Daphnia pulex: one gene and its partner. The protein of the gene in region 1 interacts with the protein of each later gene in a pairwise test. Links are inferred from orthologs where the notes say so. Each region holds a gene or a part of one and is shown in the gene's direction. Other genes may lie near its edges. The genes, in order: EKC/KEOPS complex subunit TP53RK-like and EKC/KEOPS complex subunit Tprkb-like.

The links.
Region 2: the proteins of EKC/KEOPS complex subunit TP53RK-like (region 1) and EKC/KEOPS complex subunit Tprkb-like interact in binary tests that used the Homo sapiens proteins (3 or more experiments, as listed by UniProt). The link is inferred for Daphnia pulex from reciprocal best matches to the Homo sapiens genes TP53RK and TPRKB.

Annotation. Positions count from the first base shown.
Region 1 is NC_060017.1:7,077,395-7,087,687, forward strand, and holds EKC/KEOPS complex subunit TP53RK-like, read left to right. Parts: upstream 1-5,639; 5' UTR 5,640-5,762; coding exon 5,763-5,961; intron 5,962-6,038; coding exon 6,039-6,505; 3' UTR 6,506-6,547; downstream 6,548-10,293. Other genes in the region: uncharacterized protein LOC124196883, read left to right, coding at 1,426-1,530, 1,596-1,742, 1,809-2,003, 2,062-2,280, 2,344-2,439, 2,507-2,625, 2,694-2,986, 3,046-4,643; dehydrogenase/reductase SDR family member 4-like, read right to left, coding at 6,634-6,748, 6,815-6,870, 6,944-7,078, 7,156-7,302, 7,370-7,447, 7,519-7,696, 7,767-7,891; U6 snRNA-associated Sm-like protein LSm1, read right to left, coding at 8,276-8,452, 8,516-8,700, 8,760-8,811; GPI ethanolamine phosphate transferase 3-like, read left to right, coding at 9,307-9,612, 9,676-10,293.
Region 2 is NC_060026.1:5,613,839-5,624,336, forward strand, and holds EKC/KEOPS complex subunit Tprkb-like, read left to right. Parts: upstream 1-4,173; 5' UTR 4,174-4,310; coding exon 4,311-4,433; intron 4,434-4,492; coding exon 4,493-4,615; intron 4,616-4,690; coding exon 4,691-4,948; 3' UTR 4,949-5,003; coding exon of another isoform or gene 5,004-5,158; 3' UTR 5,159-5,195; downstream 5,196-10,498. Other genes in the region: uncharacterized protein LOC124205085, read left to right, coding at 22-107, 179-367, 447-618, 868-947, 1,011-1,216; GPI transamidase component PIG-S-like, read right to left, coding at 1,787-1,877, 1,992-2,215, 2,300-2,422, 2,509-2,735, 2,803-2,979, 3,049-3,213, 3,290-3,511, 3,584-3,826 and 1 more; peptidyl-prolyl cis-trans isomerase-like 1, read right to left, coding at 5,004-5,158, 5,231-5,299, 5,403-5,492, 5,550-5,683, 5,801-5,856; ribosome production factor 1-like, read right to left, coding at 6,526-6,700, 6,762-6,949, 7,018-7,100, 7,157-7,310, 7,392-7,625, 7,688-7,864. UniProt on the Homo sapiens protein: Component of the EKC/KEOPS complex that is required for the formation of a threonylcarbamoyl group on adenosine at position 37 (t(6)A37) in tRNAs that read codons beginning with adenine.

The DNA of each region.
Region 1 (10,293 bases):
CGACGCTCAAGGTTTGGGAAAATCGTTAGTCCTTGAGAAACGACTGTTACGTCGATTAGTGTACAGTAGCATTACAGAGAAGACAGAACGACGAATGATCTAGCAGGCAAGTTGCAAATACAAATGACAAGATTGCTTTTATCTGATTCGTGATAAAACTATCCTTCAAATAATGGTGCCTGCTTTATCTAAATACATCAACTTTCGATTTTCCTCGGTTTCCCTAATAATTTAATTTTTCCATTCGCAAGCAGGCATTTTCCTCTTGGGCAGCCAAGAGAAAATCTTTTTGGGTTATGGACGTGACGCGTGCATGAACTACCTAATCGAAACAACTAATCAAAATTTCAGTCGACGACTATATACGAAAGCATTCATAATTTTCGTTCCAAAAGATATTGCGCATTTCGCTTTGGCAGATTTATAGTTCCCTATGGCAAAAACTGGACGACTTTAGGCGTCTGTTCTAACTTTAACATTATTTTGGCACTAGCCGTCTGCTGTAGCCTTCTTTTTGTAAATTCTACACGTATATAACGAATAATTCGATCCGATTGTGATATTTTAATCAATTAATTCGTTTAGAAAGTTTATCTTAGTTGCGCAACGTACCCTGGCATGAACCAAGCTAAAGATACATAAAACATTTCTTTACACTGATGGTACGACGCATGATTACATAATGTATACTAAATTAAGTAGATAATATCTACTTTTCGACAAAATAGTTACCAAGTGTAGTTACTAGTCTCTGATCCAGTGTTGCCCAGTTGGGTTACCCAAATTCCTTCCAACTCAATTTTGGCACCAGGTGGCAGCAGTGGTAGTAGACTTTCCGGTCGTCATTCTCATGACGATTTTCTGTGTCCTTGAAAACGCTGTTTGTTAGTGAAGGCCTGTCTTTTTGTTGCATAAAGAGAGGGAAGATTCTGTGTTGACTGCACCAAAAAGAAAAGTGAAAGAGGTTTTATCAGTAACATTTGATCGAGTCTTTTCTCATTTATCCAGTGTGTGAACTAAGTGAATTGAGAAATGTCGCGTTTTCTCAGAAACACAGGCGGGAAAAAGTGAGTTACCAAATCGATGGCGTCGTTGACTGGTTGAGTTTCTTAGCTATTTGAGTGTGTCGTGAAGAGTTCTGAGAGGCCACGCTATGTGATGTCTACTACTTCCCTGACATCTACTAATTTTGCCCCAAATTCAAATTTTCTGAAATTTTGGTGAATCGCCACAATTGCTTTGGTAATGAAATTTAGATTCATTTCCTTTCCTATCGATAAAATTTCGTAATTGACGTGGGATGTCGTTGAATATGGGGATTTTAGGGCGGATAACATTTTTTAAAGGGATTTGTGCAACCAGAAATTAAGATTGTGTTCTTCATTTCAGATTTAAGTGAAAGTGTACTGAACAACTGTTTGAAAAATGGAGAATAAAAAAGAAGACAACAGTAAACAAGATGTGATGGTCTCAAACCTCCCATTGCTGTTTTCTGATGGCAAACCTACATCCATAACATCCATGTCTGTGGTATGTATACTTTTTCCGGGTTTTTGTTTTCGGCCAATAATCATATTTTTTTTTTGCTTTTTCAGGAGGACCTGCAGTACTTCATACCATTTTTGATTAAATGCATACTGGGGTGTGAACCAACTGGCTGGACCAGATATACAAAATTCAAGTGGTGGCCACCTGATGTTCCTTGGTCACCTATAATTCTTACAAAGAAATATCAGACCGAAGTAAGAATTTTCACAAGAGTAAATAAACAATTTATAATTGCAAACCCTCCTTCTTTTGTTTCGCAGAATTGGAGATCCAAACTTACTACTCTAGTGAGAAATTGTTATAATTATAATGGATGTACATATTTGTTGCAATTTTCTGCAAAGTTGCAAACACTCACTGGAGGTTACAAGTTTGAAGACAATTGGGATGGAACAACTTCAATGTATGATAGCACAAATGGAAAGCTACTGGTTACTTTTCAGAATGAAAATATGGTGAGCTTTGTTAATGAATGGGACCGAGTGTTTGTGTTAACAACTTCGTTCTTTTTAGAATTATGACAAGGGTTTCAGACAGCAATCTAGTGCCTCTCGCCCTATGTTACTTCCCCGATTAAACTCTCCGACTAGTCCAACAAAGCTAAATGCTGGAGCCTCAAACACAATGGAAATAGAAGCTCCAACTGCAGCAAAAATGGTTGAACCACCAATTAATGACATCTATTTGTGTGATTATTGTGGTGCAGATTTCAGCTCACTTTCGGCCATTAAGGTACTCTATGCATTATGATTTGTCTCGGTAACTTATTCTTGAACATATTCTCAAATATTGAAGGCCCATGAAGCAAAATGTATGGCTGATAAAGCTTTGGAAGCCCAATCCAATAACATTAACACTTTCACTGAACTAGAAACACGGGACATGGATGAAGTAAACATTTTTATTTTACTATTAACTTTTGTTAGATATTTAAATTTTTTACCTTTCTGTCTCTTAGGCACAATTTCTGTGGTATTTGTCCTTGTCCAGTCGTAGTCAAACTTTACCACCGCCTAATGTTACTCCTGCTAAAATTCGTCCGGTTGTAAGAAGGACTTGTACACTCAGTGATAAGAGGTGAATCCTTAATATTTTATCTGATAACCTTTGATGAAGAAAATGCAACAATCATTATTTTATTACAGATTTACGACAATTCCCTTTTCGTCAAATCTTGGACAAAGCTTCTTCAAGGCAATTAGACTAACACCAACAGCTTCAGAACTCTTGATCAATCGATACGAGCGTTTTTGTATAGCAAAACCAATATTGCTCCGATCAGACCCTCTTACAGGAGAACACACGCAACCACCTATCCCATCAGCAACTACCTCTAATCGCTTTCGTCCAGTTGTGTTTAAAAGAAAAGACGAGTGGGCGCATTCTTACAGCTTCAATAAAGCAGACCGAAGAGAGCGCATGGAGACTATCGCGACGGGTAAACTACTTGAACTAATATTCCATGTGTTTGGTATTAACAATTAATTTTTATTGAAGGATTGAATAAACGCGCCCGTCAGTTACTTCAACGATGTCAAGGTATTCATGTGGTGATGGTTAGGTTAAAACCGGAAGAGATAGATATGTGGACTCGTCCGAAACCTAAACCAAAGCATCCGCCACATTTACTACAGCCGTGGCTACAGCGAAGCATTGCAAATTTACCTGCTAGTTGCACCATCAGCTTGGCTCCTGTTGATTCGCAAAAAACGTTTCTTCGAAACCAACAAGCTGCCTCACCATCATCAACAATTCGCCAAGTATCAAGAAACCATATTTCCGGGAAATCTCAAGCAAGAGCTCCACCAGGGCTTCTTCCTCTGATCACCGGCACTTGGTCTATGCAACCTGTGCAACCTGTCAAACCCAAGCCCACGAAAAACCAGTTCATATTGCCTGATCTGATTCCAGTTATTAACAGACATTCGAAGACGCGTTCCGTTGATCCAGTCATAATCCAAATGCCTTCCGTCTCCTCGCCAAGATCGGTTGCTGCCTCACCACGTACTCAAATGACTTCGAGCGGTAGTATTACAGATATAGTCGATCTTTGTTCTTCAGAAGACGAAGTCGACGATGGCGACCAGCGACAAGGCAGCAAAGATGTGCTGTCTAATTCTCTTGTCTTACCACCTGGTATCTCTATCACCAAAATTAAGAAAACGTCTAGTGGACCTCAGTGCCACCTTCCAAATTCACGGCCGAATGAAACGGCATCTGAAAAGAATAACAACCGATCACGAAGCGTTGCTCAGTGGCTGGCATCAGCAGCTACCGCGCCCCTACCAGTTTTGACCTTCATGGGCCACCACCAGCAAGCTATAAAAAAAGATCTTGCTAGGAGTGGTGCACTTGATGTTTGTTCAGCTGATTCGTCCCTACCCATTGTAACACCATTGAAACTAGCGAAGCTTCCTGCTGAGAAAAGGGAACAGATGAAGCAGTCTCTGTTGAAAATTCAAAAAAAGGAGAAAAAATCACCAACGTCAAACAGTGACTCTAGCAGTCCACCAACACAAATCAAGACGATTCAAACTACAAGCGATGTAACAGATCCACTTCAGCTCTCTCCATTGCCGAGAAGTTCCGTCAGCCCTAAAAAGGAATTTTCTCCACCCCTCAGTGACGAGTGCGAGGAACTGAAACACAAAGGATTAAGTGGCCTTCTTTTCTCAAACCAGCGGAATACTCGACGAAAAAGAGAAAAAGAACCCGATTTTCATAGTTCTGACGAAGAGGATTCACTATCTGATGGTCCTAGCAAAAAAGCTCGTTTATTGGATCAATCCTCGTCATCGAATTGTTTGGCACCTCAAGCGAAATTAATCCGTGGCAGCGAAAATTATTCTTCGGTTATCGAGGTTGATGTAGGAGGACCAGATAACGACATGTTTTCACGAGCAAGTTCGTTTGGATCACTAACTCCAGAGAGTAGACTTCCACGGAAAAGACAGGAATTATTTCGCTTGTTAAACGATGAATGCAAAGAATTAAGACGTAAAGGGCTGGAAGATTTATCTTTTGAAGCGAATTCCAATCATCGTGTCACTCGTTGTCGTACAAAATCCCAACCACTAATGTCCGGAAAACGGTAAAATCTCTTCCTTTTCTACTTTATTTTTGCCTTCCTCTACGACTTCGAGCAAATGCGTGCTCTTCTCCGGAAACGTTGTTTAGTATTCAACTTCTTTCGTAATTGTGCACCCAGAATCTATGCGTATATTTTACTCGCTTCTTGTCCTTCCTATCTTTTTCATTCGATGGCATTTCTAAATCGTTTCGAATGTCATTCATTCATATTATGTTCTCAACCTGGAAGATCACTGCTTTTGTTTTATGTACATAACGACGTTACATCGCCATCCGTTTAGCTGAAGGATTCGTACCTTATTGATTTGTTGTATAAAAGTATTCTAAATTTTCGATGCGATTTACGATGTTGATGTCTCGAAACCAACAAGCTTTGGTCGTTGTTGAGCAGAGGTACTATTGGTATCATTTTCTCCCCGTGTTTTGAACAAGTATTTTGAAAGTCGCGCAAACTCAGAAACCGAGACGTGTGATTGTAACGGTATTTTTAGTTTAAATCATAACCATTCTCTCCTTCTGGTTACTTGAAATAAATTCTTTCTTATTTCCAGTTAGGATATGATTGTTCTGTTCTGAAACCTTATAGATTTCACAATTCGGGTTTGCAAATTGGTTTTCGTTAAAAACACTGTAGCTCCCTAAATCCTTAATGTAATTTAATAACTCGTGTCTTTTGGGATCTTTGGTAAGTTAAAGATGTCATAATTCCACATTAATGTGTAAACAATGTATGAAGTTTCGAATTATCAGACGAATTCGATTATCTTGGCTGCTTCTGAAATCTGAATAAATTCTGTTAGTTAGACCAAACAAAATCGATGAAGATATTGAAAGATATTAATGATAAAATGAGCGGGTAGAGGGAGCAAAAAAAGGAATTGGTAAAATCCCTTGCTTTATCCTATTTTAACAAATTTGTGTGAAAAGAAGTGCGTATTATTTAATGGAAAAAATATTCATTGCCACCAGGTAGCGTGTCAACACCAGATGGCACTGACCGCAGTCGACAGACGGATTGCTTATCTATATGTATGTTCGACAAAAACATTAAAACGTAGTCTGCTACTGCTTGTAGGATCATGCATGGTTCGTGGTAACAGAGCAAGCAATTTGAATCTTGTGAAATGAATATGAAGGAGAGAAATTTCGCCTTGATTAAGCAGGGGTCCGAAGCCAAAATATATAGTGGCACTTTTCATGGAAAACCGTGCATTATCAAGGAAAGGTTTGTGAAGCGTTACAGACACCCACATCTTGACCGGGAAATTTCAACTCAAAGACTAAAAAGCGAAGTCCGCTCACTTGTTCGTTGTCGCCTAGCAGGTAATGTTTTAAAGAATTAACTATAGTTTTCTATTAAGTAATATCATAGTAATCATCACAACTAATTGTTTGATTAGGTGTCCATGCTCCAACTGTGTATTGTGTTAACGTGGAGCTAAATCATATAATGATGGAGCACATTACTGATGGTGTGACAGTTAAAGACTTCATTAAGGATCCTGTGAATCAAAATAGTCTTGAGACATTGGTTTCTACAATTGGAAGTACAATTGGTTTGTTGCATTCCCAGAACATCATCCATGGGGATTTAACTACTTCTAATATGCTGATTCGAGGTGGTGATATTTCTAAAATCACAGTAATTGATTTTGGTCTCAGCTTCATTGACCATTCTCCAGAAGATAAGGGAGTTGATCTGTATGTTCTTGAAAGAGCTATGCTAAGTACTCACCCTAACTCTGAAAATTTATTTGAAATAATTCTTAAGTATTATGCAAAGACAAATAAGAAAGATGGAAAAGAAACTCTAAAAAAACTTGATGAAATTCGTCTTCGTGGTAGAAAGCGTTCGATGGCTGGATAAACGACGAGATCTCGAAATAAAATGCCACAGGATCAGAATTAATGTTTTGTATTTGTTACTTATTATAATAAATCTCTGCATTAATTTGATAAATTTTGAGCCCAAATTGTGTCATCACATTCTATATTTTACAGCCTAGACTGAGCTCCACCAGCAGCAACAATATTTTCTCCAGTTATAAAGGAAGCATCATCTGAGCATAAAAACGAAGCCAATCCACCCATGTCGTCTGGTTGTCCAATCCTGAATTTTGTTAACTCTTGTAAATGAATTGAATATAGCTAAAAATGTACAGGCAAAATATCGTACCTTTGCAGGGGTATGCCTTCCAGGACTTTGTTGCGCACATCGTCATTGTCTACCAACTATCGGGAAAAAATGTAAATAGTTAGCTATAACACCGCTTTCGTAAGGAATTATTTAATGTGGTAATGATACCATTGCGCTGAATTTTGTTTGGATTACGCCAGGAGCAATGCAATTCACGCGAATGCCACTATGTCCTACTTCTTGGGCCAGCACCTTTGTTAATCCCAGTAGAGCTGTTTTACTTACAGAGTAAGCTCCTAGAGCCTTTGAAGGTAAGATATCACAAATAAATTTTGGTATTAGTAAAAATCCAATCAATGATAATAAGATATGCTGTTTACAGAAAATGGTTGAAACCCAGCAATTGAAGAAATAAATATTATAGAACCTCTCCCTCTCTTTTCCATATGTGGAACAGCAGATTTGGCAAGTAAAAATGCTGTTTTGACATTAATATCAAAAATTTTATCCCAGGCATCTTCAGGGCACTGTTTAAAAAGAGTAATTAAGTTTATACTTAGTTGCTAAGTTGTGTATAAACCTGATTTAACTTACACTCAATACTGGTCCAAATACAGGATTTACTGCAGCATTACTTATCAAAATATCCAATCCTCCAAACTTAGAAACAGTCTGTATAAATAGGAAAATAATTACATAAATGAATGAAATGTGATAACAACTTTTAACTTATTTCAAAGTACATCTTCTATCAGTTTTTCCCTATCTTCTTTCAATCCAACATGGCAAACCATGCCAGTAACAGTTAGTCCTTCTGTTTTAAGTTTTGCTACAGCAGCATCAACATTTTTCTGTTTTCTACTGCTTACAACAACTTGTGCTCCGTCTGAAGCTAGTCGCTTGGCGACAGCAAACCCAATTCTAAAAACAAAAATGGTAATTCAGATTAACGCTGATAAAAGGTTATAGATGTTATTGTTATTATACTCACCCATCCGTTGACGCAGTAACAATTGCAATTCTTCCATCTAATTTTTTGGCGGTCGAACTCATTTTCAATGTCGTCGTAGTAAAAAGAAAGCGTCTAGTTAGCAGGCCAGCACTTTTCAGTATCATAACGATAACAACAGATATAGCAATATATATATAGCAATATCTTCTCAATCAGCCAAAACAAGTGTATGGACTTTTATCCGAATGACAACACTGACAAGAGCTGTCAATTTCAAGTGGGAGGAGCTTACGAAATTTTACATTCAGTAGCCAATCATGAATGCTAGTACTTGGCTTATTTATCACACCTGAAAATTAAAATGTCGACAGGAACTAGTTTTATACTGATAGTTTTGTATATTGGCTAATTAATCTCATTAGAGTTTTCAAGAAAAAGAAGTTAATTTTACAATGAATTTTAAATTCAGTTAACCAAAACTATACAAAAGGAATCGTTTATGTTCTTTCCTGTCACGAATCAAAACAATTTCACAGCAAGCATCAAAACTAAAAAGCATCATCATGAGTGTAATCTGCAACAGTTGACTGAAGTCCTAGTTCTTTAAGTCTCTTCAATCTAATTTTCTCCTTTGCTTGCTTCTCATCTTGCTCCAACCTTTGGGCTTCAAGGATCTCCTCTACACCAACTTGCTTAAGGGGGATTCTTTCTTCTTTCTCCAAATCCTGAATTCAGAAAAGGGACTGTTATAATGTCTGCAATCACAATCTGTCAAAATTTAACATTACGATTTCTCCCAAAAGAGCAACATTTTCTCCTCTGACAATAAATACTCCTCGTGGAATGTCACCATACTCTTTACCAACATGAATCCTCTCAATAGTTCGATGCAAAACCAAGTTAGCAAATTGATCAACACTACGGAGGTATCCTATCAAAGTTCGGCCATCACGTAGAACGACTATAACCTTTTCTAAAAATAATCAAGCATTAGTTCATGACATCTACATGGTTCAATTCAGAAAAATTTACTGTCTAAATCTTCAAGAAGAGTCGCCGTCCCCGGTAATGAAGCGACATTCATTTTCGAAATTTCATCAGCCTATAAAACAAAACTCGTGCTTTTAGTGCAGTTGGGTCAAGAGTGCATGCGTACGCGTTTCTCAAATCGTCTGCAATCGTCTACGAATTTTAAATTGTAGATGTAGAAGCCTTGAAAATTGAGTCATGCAGCCAGTGACCCCTAGGCCAACGTTGAATTGATTGCGTTTCCATGATATTATTCGAATTCCTTTTTTTAAATATTAATCGACCTTTTAAAATCCCGGAAGTAAATTCTTTTCAATATTTTTTAAAAGAACCAAAGAAAGAACGTTTAATTTGCAAGAGCGTGAAGTAGGGATGTTGTTTAGCACTCATGTTTACACATTTCTGATAGTTTCGTCTGCAGGTAAATTTGAAACGATAGAGACGAAATCACGAAAGTTGCAAAGTTCACTGAAGAAAAATGATTTAGTCTACAATATATGTGCAATTTTTGCATGCTATATTTTAAAAAAGAAAAGTATTCAAATCTAAAATGAAAAAAAGAAATTTGCTTGTTTTTTCCTGGCTCATTTTGTTGTATGCAAATGGGGTGATGTACTTTCTTCAAGGGTTTTTGTTAACTCGCCGAGAAATTCATCTAAAGTCCGCAGCGTTTGACGGTGTTTCTTGTTGTTTGGAATCAAAATACGAGAAAATCATCATTCTTATCATTGATGCTCTTCGCTATGACTTTCTTGTTTACAACAATTCCACAAACAAGAGTAGTATACCAATCTACCAAAATAATCTTCCTGTTGTGGAAAAGTTATTGAAGGATAATCATGGTGTGCTGTATCAGGTATGTTTACAAAATAAGCATTAGGGGATAGATGAATGAGTTCTAATCTAATTTTGTGTACAGTTTGTTGCAGATCCTCCCACTTCTACAATGCAACGTTTAAAGGGCATTACCACTGGATCTTTACCTACTTTTATTGATGTTGGGAGCAATTTTGCAAGTGATGAGCTCAAAGAAGACAATATCCTCAGTCAGATTACTTCGTCAGGATTAAATATTACATTTATGGGTGACGACACTTGGTTGCAGTTGTTCCCAAGGTCTTTTCAACGTGCATTTCCTTTCCCATCCTTTGACGTGTGGGACATTCATACTGTTGACCGAGGAGTGGAACAACACTTGGTGCCAGAAATGATGAAACCCGATTGGAATTTACTGATTGCCCACTGTCTAGGAGTTGACCACACTGGTCACCGTTACGGTCCAGAGCATCCTGTCATGCCCCTCAAGTTAAAGGAGATGAACTCTTTAATCGAAAAAATCGTAAGCAACATGAATCCTCAAACACTACTCCTAGTCATGGGTGACCACGGAATGACACGAAGCGGTGATCACGGTGGTGACAGTCCAGATGAAGTCAACGCCGGTTTTTTTGCATACAGCCCAGGATGGAATATCAAATTCAACACCTCCAGGAAAACATCAATCAACCAAGTGGATCTTGTACCAACCCTGTCAGTA
Region 2 (10,498 bases), on another chromosome or scaffold:
TTTGAATTGCAATTTTTACAGCTGTTATTGTGTCGATATCAACAACAATCGGATTTTTGGGGAATCCCCGCCTAGTTATGCTGCAACTGACGCAGCCATGAATTGTGGTATGTGTCCATCCCAAAAAAACGAAACAAAAAATAACTAAATAAATAATAAATTCCGATGAAACTTTTAGAATGTTCCAGAGCTTATCAACTGGCACTGGCGGGTTCGCTACAATCGGTACAGTTTCCTCACTGCCTACCAAATGGCAACTATGATACACTGCAGTGTGTAAATCAAGCCTGTTTTTGCATCAGTTCTACCAACCAAACCCTCACTTCTTCTATCCAACCCATTACTGCAATTACGGAGTTACCGTGCTGTAATTGTTTCATCTTCAAGAAATACTTTTTGCGATTTGTACTCGCGAATTTACCTATGCTCATCTCTATTCTGAACAGATAACACTGACGTGCATTCAGCTGATTACTACCGGCCTTGCGAAATGAAAAGGTTAAAGACTAAATTTTTTGGGAATAGTTACATCCGCCAGAATATCACAGTACTTGGACTGGAACAACCGGATTGTTCGCCAGATGGATTCTACCAATCGATTCTTGAGACAGAATCCACGTATGTATTGCCAAACCTCTTCTTTTCTCTTCGGCTTACTTGAAAAGACAAAAGAGTGGCCACCAGACCAGTAACTCGGTTTATTACTTTCTGAATTTTATTTTCATGAAACCACGAGTATTTTCGTAACAAAACGCATGAGAAAATTTGTTAACTTTTGCGAGATGTGTTCGTCGAATCTTTAGACTGGCAATGAACGTGAAATTAGTCAAATTTAATTTCTTAATCACAACGAATTTTGAATTTCAGACTTTACTGTGCAGATCCTTATGGGGAAAAAATTGAAAATTTCGAAATCAACAAACCGGATGACAGTTCTATGAATTGCAGTATGTTAATTTAAAAGATGCAAGATATACTACACAAAAAACAATGTTATTTTTTTGCAATAGAATGTGCGCGAACAAGATTTTGGCTTACCAATCAAAAATTAGCCAAACCAATCTGTTGCAGCAACGGGAACTATCGACCAATCCAATGCCGAGGGGGGGTTTGTTTTTGTGTAGATGATGACGGAAATCAGACTGGCCTAGAAGTTCAAGAGAATAACTTAACTGAGTTACAGTGCTATCAGTTAAAGCAATATCCTGATTGCTGATTAATCTTTTAACAACAAGACAACATTTAGATATTTTATGTTAGCCCGAAAATAGCACTTCAAGTTTCTGCGTAAATTTAACGCTTGTAACATTTTCCCCTGTTATGGAATACACCGTCTTCTGGAATGGTAAAAGTTTAAATAAATAACGCTATGATTAAAGAAAATAAATAATAACAATCAATAACAATAGCACAATGAAATTGCAACTATATAGAAGAAATTTCGGCAGCGATTTCAACAAAATTTCAAAGATTTTATCATTTTAATAGTAATAACGTAAAAATGGATGTGCAGTCTTACTGACTTAGAGGGTTTAGTTATCAAAGGTTTGTATAGGCCTATAGGAATCAAGAAATTCATTTTTGCGCTTTACGTATGCTCCGATAATATCCATTCTCGATTGTCGCAGAATATTAATGCTGTCAATTTTCTACAAACTATTCATATTATTAATTCAAATTAGGGGTTGAAATCATAAGTTCATTACTCATTTTTTCATTTATACAGTAAAACTTTGCATTTATTTCTGCACAACTCAATTGCAAATGATATTAATTCAATTAAATTTTACCGCTTAAGAAAATGTTTGTAGACTGATCTCAACGATAAGAGAACAGGAATGCCTATGGGAAGAAAAAGTGGGATGTAAATCGCATACCTGGAACACAACAATAAAACGATGTTAAAACGAGTTGAACAACAAAAATACATTTTAAAGTTAGAAGACAAAAAGAAGATAAATGAAAGTTTTAAGTGCACCTAAATCACTTACTTTTGGTCTTCAGGAAAGTATAACAATGCCAAAAGAGAGGGATCGAAGAAAGCCTTTTCGGCACATGAATTAGATACTTTGGCATCTCGGTACGCTTGTTGCAAATCGTCATTTTTCAAAGCAATTCTGGAATCGTCCCCCATCTTTACGGAAGCAACAATCAAATCTCTTATTTCTTCACTAACAACGATGTTTCCGATCTGTTTTAATAGTTGTGATAGAGACTAAAGCGATTGAAAAAAAAAATAAAATAATTGTTACATGCTTCATCGAATGTATAGTATTTTAAATTTTTAATTCACGTTTACCTTTAGAGTAATGGTAGCTTGATTTAAAAATTGTACCGTACGTCGCCGTGTCAACAAATACAGCTCCCACGCGTGAACACCAGATTCATCATAATTCAAGGAGATGTAAGAAGTATCTGCATTCTTTATTATGCAATAGTAATTGCAAGTAAACATTAGCTCAAAAACAGGATCAAATAGGAATATTATCATTTCAAATTTATATTCACCTGTAGAGAGAAAATTCCGAGAGCATTTCTTAACTGGCATAGAGCAAGTCCAGCAAAGGAATGATCTAATTCATTGACAATTTGTAAACCTCCTCCATTCCACCGTGGACTAAGGACTGAATTGGTCACAACTGGCAAGGATCCTTTGAAAATATACATTGGTGACTGATTTATGTGGGGAACATAAAGCACCCAATGAAAAGTGGGATCCGACGACAACTGACTTCCTATTTATCCACGAAATTCCATTTAAACTCTATTTTCTTTTAGTATCTTAAGGCTTCGTTCATATACCTAGTCGCGGTTCGAGAATATTAATAAGAGATACCACTTTTTCTTCATTTAAAGAGAAAATTTTTTGTTCAGTATCATGATTGGCATCAATATGGCCGTTTCCAAGATAAATCATTTGGGATGAAATTGAAAGGTCAGCAACGTGCCGAAATTTTTTAGAAAATGCAGCAAAATTTTCTAACAAAAAAAAGGGAAAATGCAATTTTATGTACGCCTAAAGCTGTGAAATTTTTTAAAAATTCTTACCATCATATAAAGATACTATACTAGAATATTCTTGGGTTGCATTTGCGGTCGCCAAAGTAAGAAGAACATTATAATGATTAGAAATGGGAAGGTGCGCATCGGAATTTCGGTCTGAATCGTGAAGTGCCAAAATTGAACGTATAATGTGGCCAAGGGAATCAAAATCTAACAAAAAAAAAGGAAAAATTTATCAATTTAAAAATTTTGATTTATAAGTGAATGAAATCTTTTAATTCCACACCTGTTTCTTCCGAGAAGTACAGAAAGTTATGCCTTCCTACACACACTTTCCCAGATGGCAAATAATTAGATGGTACTTCAACAATTGATAATATGTTAATAAACTCTGATTCAGATAGTTCCTCAAAGTACATGTCTATGGCATCAACTGACTTTTGTGACAACAAAATTTTTACTTCTTCAGGGCTGAATTTATATGGAACAATACTGAAGTTATAAGTTACTAAAAAAATTTTGAAAATTGTTAACATAATCTTCAAATCTAAACATTTATTATATTGTTTTAGTTACTTACATGGGTCCTTGGACTGAACTAGTGCACTTTGCAGTTTCTTTGCCATTATTTCAGCATCATTGATGCCTTTTAATAAAATAGGGATACTTTGTTCACTCCCAGACACTTTAGCCATAGTGGACAGTTCTTCCAGTGGTAAAGATGCTCTTTGTACAGTAGTGGTATTCCACCATACTGGTACTCCAAGACCCAAAAGTATCACAATGAAGGTTAATGCAGCTCCAATTGGATGAGAATGCCTATCTAAACAGTTATTTTCATTAGTTTGAATCATAAGTAAATCAAGAGTAAATTAATTTTGACATTTACCTTGCCTATCTAGAGAGCTGTTATTGGAGCCCTTCATTTTTAAAAAAGGTGGAAATATTTATACCTAAACCAAAAAAGAAAATTGTATCAAGAATTTTTCAAATCACTTTTCAATAAATAAATAAGAAAGGACCACCATCAAACGTACAGGTTCTTAAATTTGTTGTTTAGTGTTTACTGTAGTCGATGTAGTGTCTACTGAAATGAAGATTTGAAGTCGCATTTTAGTCTGCAAATAATTGCCATGACAACGTCTTGCAGTGTTACAGCCAGGTTACATACAGCCGGTTGAAGCAGACAGACTATAAACTGTGGGAACCAGCAGCAGTCAGAACACGTTTTGAAATAAAAAAATTTACCGATTCGTGACTCCCATATTTAGTCGTTATTTAGTCATATTTGAGCAAACAATAATAAAATGTGGGCATTTAAAGAATGCGAGCCCAAGTTGTTACTTTTTAAAAATGTAACCAATGCAAGTGAAATTCGAGAAAGGATTATGAAAGCTAGCTTTCCTTGCGCTGCAATTAATCCTAGATATGTATGCATTTCAATTTTCAATTTTATGTTTGACGAAGAATATAAATTTATGACTGCTAGGTATTGGACACCTTTCAAGTATTAGTGGCCACCCAACTTGCTGTGATGAGCCATCAAAGTCATACCCTTAAAACACATTCTGTGTTTTCTGAAATTGTTTATAACATGTCCCCAACAAAAAAGGTATTTTTTTAATGTGCAGTTGTACAGCATGCAAACTTTATTAAATATGGAAATTATTTTTAATGCTTGGAACAGATTACAGATTCCTTAAAAATATTTGGAATGAATGATAAAGATACATATTTTCTTTGTGTGGTACTTAATGAAGAAGATATGGAACTTGTCTGTTCTAAAGTCAAAGGAGAATTGGCAGAACCCACCCAAGACAATTTTGAAACATGTGATGAAAATGAGCTGAGGAAAATTTATAAAATCAAAGAAGAAGAAACAAAAATTGTTTCTTTATTGGATGCTATAATTAACCGAATTTCGACAAAAGAAATTGCTACATAGTACTAATATTTTTTGTGTAAAACTAGATTTAGAAGCAGGATCAATTATGTATTATTCATTCATATTTGATTGTACATTTTACGATTTTCACATCATCAGTTGGTCTGTCATCTTTATCTGTTTCTACAAACCCAATCCTTTTCACAACAGACATGCCTGAATAAATTCTCCCAAAAATGGAATGCTTGCCATCTAGCCATTGGGTTGGAGCTAAAATAAATATAAAATAAATTTGCATTTGATGTAGGAATTCAAAGTTTATTAATTTTTTTTTTTAAATACCTAGTGTTATGAAAAATTGAGATCCATTGGTATTTGGTCCTGAATTCGCCATGGACAGTATACCAGGGCCTATTGTTAAACACACACAAAGTTAAAAGTCATTTCCTTTGAATGTGTGTCATTCAGGCCCCTGAATGTTGTTTCCATTACTTATTTTATTTGTAATTATTACCTGTGTGTTTCAGTTCATCATGTAATTCATCAGAAAAATTACGTCCATATATAGATGCTCCTCCTCTTCCAGTACCAGTGGGATCACCACCTATAAATTTTTTAACTTAATTCATAATCAATGAAAAAAAAGTTTTCAATTAATTACCTTGGATCATAAAATCTCGGATTATCCGATGAAATTTAGTGCCTGCATAGTAATTTCGACGACAGAGTTCAGCAAAGTTTCTACAAGTGTTGGGGGCATGGTTCCAGTACAATTCTATAGCAATTTCTCCCATCCTACAAGGTCAGATATTAGAGATGGTAACCAAACAAGCAGATTTTATATTAAAATATACATACAAACATCTTATCTTTCACAGTGGTATTCATAAAAAAATAATAAGTATAGCCTACGTGGTTTGAAGTACTGCAAAAGGTGGCTGCCAAGAAGCATCGGGGATGGAAGCCATACTTGGGATGACAAATATTTATGTAGTAAACAAACCGTTTAAATTTTTTGAAAGGAAATATATTAAGAAAAACAATTTTGGATCAGAACGTCAAACGTGTGGACAAAATCACAAAAACTCAAAAAAGAAGCCGGGAAGCAGTCGACGCATTGTCTTGTTCGTTGAAGCAGCATGTCATGATTTCCAGTTATATATTTACGGGTAACACGACGCCTGCTGCAGGCACCATGCTGCAGGCCGCAGCACAAAATGATAATTTCAGTCAGCACAGCAATTAAAAATTCACTTAATAAAAAAAAAATAATAATAAATACCAAAACAATTATAAATACGAATAAATAAATAGATCTAAAAAAAAAAAATCGTGATCTCCGCAGCAGCATTCAGAAGAACATCCATAAGTTTGTTGGTAAAAATTGAAGTTACCAAAATTCAAATCCTTTCGAAAACAATCAATGACTATTACTAGAGGTTTTAGGACTCAGAAAATTGTTCATAAATATTATATACAAATTCAATACTTGTAGAAGTTTGCTGACCAAAATCTTTCTAACTGAATTGTACATTTCATTTATGATTGGAATTAACTTGAAAAACCACTAGAAACTGGCATATTACATGACATACAGCATGTGTATTATTTCTTTTAACACAGCGTACAACAGACTTTTAAAGAAAGAATCTGCGCCTGCTCGTCTCCATTTCGTGCCGTTTCCCAGCGATGATCCATTCATAGTCACCCTCAATTGTGTCGAAAGTTCCTTTTTGCAACCATTTCAGTCGCAATGTAAATCGAGGGCCCAATTCACGTAAGGCAGCTCTCTTCTGAGATTTGAATTCATACCTATCATTACAAAGGTAGTAATTATTATTTTGTTATTATTAAGAGTCTAAGCTTTCCCAACCGGTGGTGCCTGAAAAATATGTAGTCTCGCTGGTTGTGGAAAGTCACCGCACGACGACCTTTAAATTGGGGATCGTAGTGAAACAAAGAAGCTAACATTCGACTCACTGCTTGACCAAGGCGTGTCTGGAAATTGTTAAGAATGACTTCGGGACGATGAGTGGTAAACTCCTTGATAATGTTCTTGTACTTTTAGGAAAGATAATAAATATGAGTAATATTAGATTGCAAAAATATTATATAAATATATAAATTACCTTCATATCCTTTGTTAATTTGACATTGCTTATTTTGAAATAAGCAGTTGGGCCATCAGGTAAGTGTGATACCAACATTCCATCTATTTAGCATAATTTAAATATAAACTAAACTTTATTAACATTGAAAAGAACTTACTTGGAACTCGTCTATCTTCATTTATCACTACAACATCTGTGTAATCTTTTTCCTTAGCACTCTCTATCATTTTTTTCACACTGGAACGCTTTCTCCATTGACATTCAGATTTTGGGAAAATCTTTGTTAATTCACGGATAAAATGAATAGTTTTCTAAAAACATCAAATAATGAACCAGTTCATCAATCTATTAACATAAATCTTAAAGTTAATTTTTAAATGAAATTTACTTACTGAGTGAGGGTTGTCTGATGATGTTATCAAAATCTTGGGCTCATAGGTTTTTGAAAAATATGCTTCATATTCATCATGGGTGATGTCAAATGTAACTTCTTCATCTTCTTGATCAACAGTTGTCACATCAGCTTCCCTAGTATTTTCAATTGTACGTGGAACCTGTTTAGGAGGAGCCTTATCTCCTAAAGCTTCAGCTTCCTTTTTTCGCTGCTTTTGACCTTCTTTTTTAATCTGTTTAAGAACTCATTGTAGTTTAAATAAAATATTCTTGACATGCTGTAAAAAGATTTCACCTTTCGTTTTTCTTTTTTCAAAGTAGCCCACTGAGCATTCCGTAACACCTTGTTTTTCATCGTTGACAGTCTCCTCTGAGTACGAAAACGTTTTTTTGCTGCAAGGCGTTCACTCGCTGTTAAGATTTTCGGCTTCGCTAGAACCTCTCCAGCTTCATTTTCCTCGGCGTTCTCCATGGCAGATTTTTTTTTAAATATTGAACAAAATCACGCTGCTTAATAGGAAGTGAGGAGGAACTCTATACAACAGTTTCAGCCTTTCAGGTCGTGAACACGTGCCAGACAGCCTCGGAAAAATTAAACTGTTTAACAGACGACACAACTCGCGAATAGTACGGCCCACAGCGGGCCCTTTCGGAAACCATGAACCTATAAAATTTTTACATTTGATGAAAACATTACTCGCACAGTACTACAAAAATATTTTTAATTTAACACTCGTGTGTAGCTACATATTATTTTTTTAACACTTAATACTTTTAACAAGCGATTCGCCACTCAAAGAGACCGTTTTGGGGGTATTTAATTTTGCGGAAATCATCGCTAGGGGTTGTAAAAATAAACAAATTAATAGGTTTAGTTCAAAATTTTTTTCTAAGTCGATTGGTGAAAACCACAATCCCTTAGCTATAGTCGTTTTTGAGATATTAGCAAAAAACTGTGGGGGGTAGCCGAAAATTGGACTTTTTTCGGTTTTTGTGCTGCAGTTTTCTCGTCAACTGCTGCACCTAAAAATATTCTGATCATTTAAAAATGATGGGATAGCCCACCTCTTCACAAAATTTTCATGTTTTTTCGATACTCGGCTCAGAAGCCGAGATATTAACGTTTGAAATTTTTGAAATTCCTACAAATTTCTTGGTTTTTGGGTCATTTTGGGCTTTATCCTATAAGCCACCTAGCGCTCGCGAAAACAACATTTTCCCCTCTTTGCCTTTAGGGTCTGTTGGGGTGGCCAACCGCCAACCCTCTCGATTGGCGTAGGCTCTGACGTTCTGAGGGAGAACACAAATGCACCAGGAACATCGCTCCTCCTCATTTGTCCGTTGTTTACGGAAAGGACTTCTCGTTAAAGTTTTATCTTCCGCCCAGTTGCCGCTTACCATGTCGGTATAACGTGTGCTGCTGGGTGTACAGGATTCAACGTCCTAATTGATTGGATTTATAGGGTGTAGTGGAGTCAAGATAATTTTTAACCGTGAACAATCTGCAACATCAGAAAGGAAAAAAAATTTCCCGATTTTCCCTTCATATTTCCCAATTTTCCCAAATTTTCGCAACTTTCCAAATTTTCAAAAATTTTCAAAATGTTCAAAAATTTCAAAATTTTTCCAATTTTGTCTATTTTCCTCGATTTCCACTATTTCCAGTAAAATTCTATTTACAAAATTTGTTTCCGAAAAATAGCTTCCGATTCTAAATAATCCGAGACAAAAAATTGAGAAGCATCACAATATTTTTATACGACGGGATGATTGGAGGAGGGTAGACTGAAAAACTAAGTATTGCAAGGGTGGAAATCGTGAACAATAACAGCTAGTTTTTTTTCCGTTTGTTGAGATTTTCTTCGATTTATCTGTTTGCCCATTAAATCGGTACCAAGTACAAATTACTGAAATGTCCTCGTTAACTTTTTTGTCATTTCCTCTTTGCCACTCTAATTGTGTTTTTTATTACTCTGCGACAGAAATTGAAATTGAATAACGCGGCTTAATAGGAATAAATAATCGCGCTTTGAACCTGAAAGAGTCTGAAAAAGACACCAACCCGCACGATTTCCCTTTCTTCTACTGTTTTCACTATCAGTTTTGTAGCATCAGGGAACGAAAAAAGCTGGCACACTTTCAAGTTACGATCACTGCTCATCTTCTTCATTTGTGTTTCCAAAAACCAGCAGAGCGTTTTAATTTGAACAAGTCGCATCAACGCTAAGGTCATTCATTTTCTTTAAGGCGATAGGGATGCACTTTTTATCTCTATGGTGAATTCATCATCCTATGGCAGCACGATAACTTCAAGTGCATTTAATGAACCCCTGCTCCGATGCCTGTTCTCATCGACGCGCCGATAAATTATTACGTCTTTTGATAATTTCTGTTGTAGCAGGAGATTAGCAATTTTGCATAACATTTTCTAGCTTGATCCAAAAATTCCCCTTCTGTGATGTTAGGTTTGTATAGACCGACAGGACAAAGTGCACGGATTCCCCTGAGAAAAACTTTCGCATTGTTGGCTACTAAAAATCATGTTAGTAGCTGTTCAAGCGATTTCTCGATGTGGCACTTTCTGATGAATAGTACAAGTTTCCTTTGTTTTTGATGTCCTCACGAGAAAAATATCAAAACAAACAAGTTCAAAAGCAGATATTGTAATAAATAGTTGAAGTATACAGACGATTCGGAAAATTTGACGTTTGCCGAATTGGTTTTGGCCGAATTGGATTTTTTATTTATTTTGCCGAACCGGACAACCAATTCGGCAAAATTTGCCGAATCACCACCAGGTGGTACACTATTAGTTTTACATTTATGTTTACAAGTTTTACATTTATGTTTACACATTCAGAACATTTCACTCACTCAAATCATCTTTATCGTCGTCATAACAAAAAGCTTCATTTAGAAAGTTAGTTTCGCAATAAACTTCAGACACAGCTTTCAGCAGTTGTTTGCCGTCAAGCTTTTCAGGATATGACTCCCACAAATCGAACAATTTTTTGTTTACAGAATCGCTTATTTTCAGCGCTCGTTTCACTATTTTGTTTCGGCACATCAATTTTTTGTAGAGAGGAATCAGTTTTGACTCCTTATG